Oryzias latipes: one gene and its partner. The protein of the gene in region 1 purifies or fractionates together with the protein of each later gene. This does not show direct contact. Links are inferred from orthologs where the notes say so. Each region holds a gene or a part of one and is shown in the gene's direction. Other genes may lie near its edges.

Region 1 (4,163 bases):
CCTCTTGACTCCCTACACTTCTGCACGTTCATTGGCTTATATGCCTGGGTGTGTTTTATTGGGTTTTACCTGTTTAAGACCTTCTGTGCCATTCTGTGTTCATTTTCTTATTTTATATTGTTTTAACATTGTAAAGTGAAAAAAGTGCTCTATAAACAAAGATTTACTTACTTTAAAGATTTACTTTTTTTACTCAACTTTAAAACTTTTATTAAAGTCACTGTTCACTTTTCTTTACGAACTGCCACCTCCTTAGATACATGGAGAAGGATGCTGCACAAACAGACACATACAGAGGATGTTGCAGTCTCCCCCAATCCCTCTACATCATCAGGAAAGTCATCTTCTCTCTTTGCTCTCCAAAAACTGTAACCATGGAGCGCCACCTTGTGGAGATTGGTTTTCAACTTTTTGGCAAAAACAGGAAAAGCTGAATACTTAACAGTTCACAAAGTATGTAATAAATCCCACATTTATATGTTAATTGGGAATTTTTTTGTTTTATTTGGAAGGTTTTATCTCTGGAACTTCTAAAGTGTGATATAATGTCGAAAATATTCCTCTTGAAGGCCCCTCTTTTTGTCCTGAAAAGATGCTCATTACCAGATTTAGAGGTCAAGACATAATTCAAACTGATATTCAGTTCTCAAATCACAATTCAGTTTGTAATTTGATCATGCAGTTTGAAAAGGCATTTTACAGTTGACATTTCAATACGAAAATCAGGCTTGCAATTTGGAAAAATGCATTTTCGCATTGCGTGATCAAATTGCGAACTGAATTGTGATTTGAGAACTGAATATCAGTTGGAATATTGTGTGAAAAAATACTTTCCCTACGCTGGCTGAAATGTGACAGGCTTTCTTTAAAAGTGATTGTTGCTCCAGTCCCATTGGGATTCAGTGTAAGTAAAAGTTGACTGTTCATTTTTAAGGTAGTTATGCTAATAACTTGAGTAAAAAATGTCAAATTCGAGCAAAGATTTTTGCATTATAAAAAAACATTTTTATAAGGTTTAGAACTGTAGATGTTAATTGGCCTAAGGTTATAAATTGTCAACATTTATTTTTGGCATTGAACTAAGCTCAAATAACGTGGTAGAAGATAAAACAAAATCTCAAATGATATTTTTTATTTGCTTTTACTTTGAAAGGAGTTAACAACATGTAATACGGTGTTAAATACCTGCTGGTGACATCGTCATTCACTCCTCCTTCGCTTCTATTTATTTTTACCCTTTTATTTTTACATGTTAAAAAATATGTATATGAACCTTTTTTCATACAAATATGTTTTAAAAAAAATGTTATTTCATATTTTGTTCTTAAAACCTCGAATGGGAGTTTTATTTTAAAAATACAAACCGGAAGTTCCGGTCTGGGTAAAAAACCGTACGGCGTTAGCTAGCGTTTAGCTACAAATCGGTGGCAGGTGAGCTCACTTCATGAGTAAATTATTACTCATAGTAAAGAGGTTTTCTAACTACCTTATTAGTCATAGCACAGATTAAAACTGTGATAAATATATTAACTCTTTCGCTAAACTTGTCATCTCTTTTTAAAACAGCCTGCTGTCGCCAAGCGAAAGAAAGAAGAAGAAGTAGCAAGAGCCTGAATGGCTGAGGGCTCCTCAGGTGAGCGACCAGCCATAAAATCATTTCCAGATATCTTACAGCTGTCTTAAACCGTTCATAGAATTAAGTTAACTTTAAATAAGGGTCTATATGTAATTTTGTTTTAGCTTTTGAGCTAGTTGTGCTAACCGGCTAATATTAGCTAACAACAAAGTTTACTAGTTCGTGGACTAGATCATTTGTTGGTGATTTTTCTGGTTTTATAATTTATACGTCTGTCAACCAGAGACAAAGTTACGTAACATCATCATGTGAACTTAGAACATTATTCTGTTGACCTGTGACAGGAGCTAAAGAACATGTCACTCCTTTAGCTTTATATTTAGGGACTTTAAACTTTTGTTAACCAGGTTTTTCACACGTTAGTGTCTGATTCTGGTTTATTTGTTTTGATATTCAATGTTCCAAATCTTTATTTAAAACAACAACGTTTCCATTCTGGGTTGAGGATTCATCCGAATCCGTTAGTTTTCCTGATTAACTTTTACAAAAGTAAAAGTACTCTACAGTGATGGCATACTTTATACTATTACTTGGATATATTTATGTTTAGGGGAAAATTAGTGTATTTAAAAAAATAAAAAAGAATTCTTTTTTTTTTTTTGCATGAAATGTAGTATTTATTGTAAACATCATTAAAAGTCATATTGTTACAAAGAAGTCCTTCTATCCAGTATCTTAGCAAATGGACAGATTTTACGGTTACAGCCGAGCTTATGCAGTGTATTCATAAAAAACTCAACACGCATGTCAGTATAAAACCTCTTTTTTTGTTTTGTTTTTTTTGTTGCTTTTATTGAAATTTGTTTTTCTTTATGCTCCAAACTGGATGAAAGATTGTGAGAGATACAGTATATATAGTTATAGAAAAATTGAGGGACAGAAAACAAAAAAAGGACGACATTCATAAATTTCATAAATCCACAACAGTATTTTAATTTTTTTAAATACATTTTAGGCTTTGATATATATAGTCAGTTATCGCTGTGGGCTCAAATGGTCATATTTTCGATTTGCAGACCCACAAAATTTCAACCAAGATGGGTCGTCCCTTCAGAAAACGCACCAGCAAAGATCCAGAAGAGGCCGCCCTCGAAACAATGGTAGAAATCTGAGCTGTAATTATGAAGAAACATCCCAACACTTTGGACACTTTTTTGAAGGGTTTGAACATAACTCTAATTATGTTGAAGCCCACAATCCTCCATTTCGAGGGGAGGATACAGCTCAAAGGAGAGGCAGAGGTCGAGGAAGGAGAGAAGGAGACAGAGGTTTGAATGGAAATCCGGATGCCTCTGGTTCATGGTGGCAAAGATCTGGTCATGAGTTTGGACAGCATGGTTCAGGCAGCAGGTATGCAGGTAGCCATCAGTCTGGTGCACATCCTATGGATGGATCTGATGGATCCAACAGGCGGGGTGTTAACAGAAATTTGGAGAAAGGCTATGAACAGTGGGATTCTCATTTTAAAAAGAACAGAAATGTTGAGCAGAGGAGAGCAGAGCAGAGGGAGAGAGGCGATCATTTTAAAGCAGCTGATCAAAGGCACGGCACCAAAGGAGAAACCACTGAAAGGACTCAGGAGAGCAAGTCGGGCCCTAAACGTCACTATCATGAGACCCAGAAAAAAGAGGTTGAAGTTAAACGGCGCCAAGGACCAATCAAACCCCCCAAACCCCCAAGTCAAGAAATAGATGGCCGTGAGAGGGGGGCCAATGCTCGGCTCGACTCCGATCAGAGCCGACCTGCTCAGGATTCAAGGGGTCCACCTCCTCCGGCCAAAGGGGGTAAAAGATTTAACCAACGAAGCCACAAGCCAGGCCGGCAGAGCTGGGAGCAGGTGCCAAAGAGCAAAGAGACTCAGACTGGTGAGATTGCAGCTTTTGTGGTTGTTTGGTCTTAAATTCGATCAAAGTTGTGCCCGGGTGGATCCACTCTTGAGAACGTTTTTCATTGGTTTAAAAAATCTGCTGGTCTGAGCCGCTGGAGTCTCCTGACCCCGATGCTCTGGTTCCTCCACAGGCTGCCTGATTGAACAGCTGACAGAGGAGAACTACGAGTGCATGGTGTGCTGTGACGTCATCAGGGTCATGGCCCCGGTGTGGAGCTGCCAGAGCTGCTTCCACGTCTTCCACCTGAACTGTATCAAGAAATGGGCTCGATCCCCGGCCTCACAGGCGGACGGTATGACCGTTACCCATGTGTGCTCTTAGTCTGCGGGGTCAACTGTCAACATTTATTTCTTTTCACTTTTTTAAGTGCAAAACATTTTGTTTCATGGTTAAAAATGCTTGTTGGAATTGATGGCTTTCAGATTCGACTGAAGGCTGGCGCTGTCCAGCCTGCCAGAACGTAGCACTGAAAAGCCCTGCGTCCTACACCTGCTTCTGTGGTGAGTGTTAGTTTCATTTATGCAAATGAAAACTCTTCTGGCAGCCCATTATTCAAAAACGCTCGTTTGAGCATCTGAGCCTCAGAGCGAAAAGCAATTGAAAGTGATTTTGTTGTTGTTTTGGCAGGTAAAGTGACA
Region 2 (3,500 bases), on another chromosome or scaffold:
ACGGCTGTTAACCTGAGGGTTTCTGCTGCAGGCTCCTCCAGAGGATCCTCTCCAGTGCGGGCCAAGCCTGACCCAGACACCTCCAACCTCAAATCCATGCCCAAGGGCCTCTCTGCCAGCCTCCCTGACCTGGACTCTGAGTCCTGGATCGAGGTGAAGAAGAGGCCCCGACCGTCTCCCGCCAGACCCAAGGTCAGCTCAGAACGTCACGTCTTCACACGGAGCTCAGAGTTAAAGCTACAGCTCCACAGATTGATCTCAGAACCAAACCACATCCATCCATCCAGTCAGGTGTTGACAGAATCTGCTCTCACCATTCCTCTTCATCTCCTCTCCCTCCTCTTTTTGTGATGGAAGCAGGCCCCTTCGGTGCAGCAGCAGAAGGAAAAAGACGAAGTGGTTCGATCCCCGGTTCCCCCGCCCGGCTCCTCGCCGTCCCGCACTACCTCAGGAAACAAGGTGAGCCGCTCACCTGCACGGATCTGCAGGGGTTTTGGACCAGTTCTGGTTCTGTTTAGAGCTGTAGGTTTAATGGTCACATGTCCATCAACAGGCCACGCCCCTCCGTGGACACGTGTGTTTTTTAAAGGTCAAATTTAAAATAGGGCTTCAAAACATTATTACAGAATAAACTATATTTGTGAAACAAGCCACCTGGTGGTGACTTGATGGAATTACCTGATTATAGAGTTTAGTTTTAAAGCTGGGATTTCATCCTGAAGTTAGACAGTTTTTAGCAGTTTTTAAAATAGTTTACAAAGAGTTTGAAAATCCTGACAGTCTGTTGATGAATGAAAGTAACTGAGTATCGTGTTTGTTTGTGGGGTCAGGACGGAGCCGAGCAGGACGAACCAGAGGAGCTGGACTTCATGTTCGACGAAGAGATGGAGCAGATGGACGGACGCCGCAACACCTTCACCGACTGGTCAGACGAAGAGACGGACGGCGAGCTGGATGACCAGGACGTCAACAAGATCCTGATCGTCACGCAGACGCCGCCCTACCTGCGGAAGCACCCAGGCGGCGACCGCACCGGACACCACACGTCGCGCGCCAAGCTGACCAACGAGCTGGTCAAGGTCATCAACGACGGGCTCTTCTACTACGAGCAGGACCTGTGGGACGCCCCCTATGAGCCGGAGTACGCCACCATCAAGGTGAGGCGGCTTTATGGTGGTGAAAAGGGAAAAAGAGCAGAGTCATGCATGGAGGCCTTCCAGCGGTGGCTCTCCTTCAGTTGCAGCTTTTTCTGGATCCGGACCCAAAGCAGAGCACAGAAGCTGCCTTTTTGTCCGCTTTTTTGTTGCCGCTGCCGCCCATTGTTGCATTGTTGGGCTCTGTGTGGGACCTTCACGCGCTCGCCAACACACATCCAGCAGCCTGTGGAACACACGCCGCTCGTTTATAAATAGACCCCAAACGGCGGGGTGCCAGGGGGGAGGCAAAGATGGCCGCGGACCGATCCCTGGAGAGTCTCTGGAAAGAGAGGCCGAGTATGAGTGTGAGTGGAGCTGCTGCTCTCAGGACAGACGGGTTTGTGTGGAGCTGCTGTTTGTGGCGATATGAGGGTGAAACGCTTCTTTAAGGCCGCCATGTTCTGCTGCTGCCTGTCTGTCTCCAAACTTCTGCGGATGAGGTCCGCCGACGGAGATTCCCCTTCCGCCGCTGCCGGTCGCTTCCTCCGCTCCCTCTACTCACGCTGCGGGTTTCTGTCTTTTCTTTGCTTCCAGCAAGAGGTGGAGAACTTCAAGAAGGTCCACCTGATCAGCCGGGAGCAGTTCGACTGCCTGACCCCAGAACCCCCCGTCGACCCCAACCAGGAAGTCCCCCCCGGACCCCCGCGCCCCCAGCAGAGTAAGCAAACCCAGACAAAATCAGCAGATTATGTTTTACTAAAAGCTTTAAACTAAAATCTGTTTTGACCAGGACAATAGTTTCTCCTTTTTTTTTTATTTAGGAGAAATTTAGGTTTTTAATCTTTTTTTAAAAACAGATTGAGGTGCAAAGCAGTTAGAAAAAAATCAAAAAAAAGTGACAAGATTTCGACACAGAAACCTGAAACTACTAACTTTGTTAATATATTATTATGTAAATATTGCATTTTCTAAAAACAGATTCAAGTCGAACTCAAAACTAATCATGTTTTTGTAGTTTTAACATGTTCTGATGGCATCTTTCCGATGATGGAGGACAAATGTTAATGTCTTTATTTAATCTAAATGTTATGTCTTTATGGGTAAGGAAGTGTTCTCCCTGAAGCTTAAATTCTGATGCTTCCACTTGTAAACCAATGTAAGTCTTTGTTTTTTCTCGTCTCCGCTTGAATCTGTTGCTCTGCAGAAACTATGTCCTAGAAAACGTCTTTGCGTATTTAATTTTGGCTAAAAACAGGTTAATCATAATTATAAAACCACTGGGAACGCTTTGAAAATAGATCAAATCATGACTGGAGTGGGACTTTGACGGTGTGCAGCCTCTTGTTTTTCAGTCATTCATTGACATAAACGCTTAAATGACACAAATAAAGTTCATAGTTTCACTTTCTGATTCCCAGGAACAAAAATTAAAGCTGTCATTTACTCTACTTCAGCTTTCAAAATGATTAAAGAGTAGTTTTTGAAATGGGGTCACATTTATCAGAGTGCTCCTCCTCATCGGCGGCGTGTCGTTCTTCTCTCTGCAGTTTAAAGCTCACTTCTTTAGCGTCTCGTCGTGTTTCAGTCCCCACAGATGCTTTGGCAAACAAACTTTTCGGCGCCCCTGAACCCTCCTCAATGGCCCGCTCGCTACCCACAACCGTGCCTGACTCGCCAAACTACCGGACGCCGCGGACTCCTCGCACGCCGCATCGTAAGGACCCCACCATGACGCCTCGCTTCTACCCGGTGGTGAAGGAGAGCCGGCCTGTCGACGCCAAGGTGAGACGGCGGGGGCAGGTGGGGTTGATGTGAGGAGGTTTCCCGAGGGGAACTCCTTCACTCACGCTTCAGAGTCTTCCTCTTCCAGACTCCCAGGAAGAGGAAGACCAGGCACAGCTCCAACCCCCCCATGGAGTGCCACGTGGGCTGGGTGATGGACTCCAGAGAGCACCGGTCCCGCACCGCCTCTGTCAGGTGAGTTGCAGAGGAAGCATCATGGTATGGGACTGCTGAGTCTTTCTATCCACCAGCAGATCTTTTTTTTCGTTCAATTATGCTGGACTTATTTTTCTATAAAGGTTTAAACAAGAGAGAAAATTGTGAAAACGTTTTTCTGTCTGAGAAGAGCCCGTCAAGCGTGTAGCGGCGGCTTCTACAGCCTTAAAACAGACTAAATGAGGGAACGGTGTGTTCACAAAGGATTCTATTCCTGGTTATTCCAGTCACATGACTTGGTCAGGACACTCAACATGTGGTGGTTTTTGTGTAGAATGTTGTGTTGAAAACGGACCAAAGCTCTGTAGAAGGAAATGGATCGTTGAAGAAATGCATCATGGGAAGCTTGGTGTTTCGTCATTCTGG

Evidence for each region. The genes of interacting proteins can lie anywhere in the genome.
Region 2: the proteins of nfx1 (region 1) and larp1 purify together in Homo sapiens (affinity purification with mass spectrometry, with the first as the bait; 3 studies listed by BioGRID). This does not show direct contact. The link is inferred for Oryzias latipes from reciprocal best matches to the Homo sapiens genes NFX1 and LARP1.

Annotation. Positions count from the first base shown.
Region 1 is NC_019878.2:21,136,077-21,140,239, forward strand, and holds the start of nfx1 (transcriptional repressor NF-X1), read left to right. Parts: upstream 1-1,363; 5' UTR 1,364-1,431; intron 1,432-1,437; exon of another isoform or gene 1,438-1,566; 5' UTR 1,567-1,614; coding exon 1,615-1,633; intron 1,634-2,652; coding exon 2,653-3,501; intron 3,502-3,655; coding exon 3,656-3,817; intron 3,818-3,947; coding exon 3,948-4,025; intron 4,026-4,152; coding exon 4,153-4,163. UniProt on the Homo sapiens protein: Binds to the X-box motif of MHC class II genes and represses their expression. May play an important role in regulating the duration of an inflammatory response by limiting the period in which MHC class II molecules are induced by interferon-gamma.
Region 2 is NC_019872.2:3,472,917-3,476,416, forward strand, and holds part of larp1 (la-related protein 1), read left to right. Parts: intron 1-31; coding exon 32-192; intron 193-360; coding exon 361-459; intron 460-830; coding exon 831-1,157; intron 1,158-1,730; coding exon 1,731-1,854; intron 1,855-2,721; coding exon 2,722-2,918; intron 2,919-3,006; coding exon 3,007-3,113; intron 3,114-3,500. UniProt on the Homo sapiens protein: RNA-binding protein that regulates the translation of specific target mRNA species downstream of the mTORC1 complex, in function of growth signals and nutrient availability.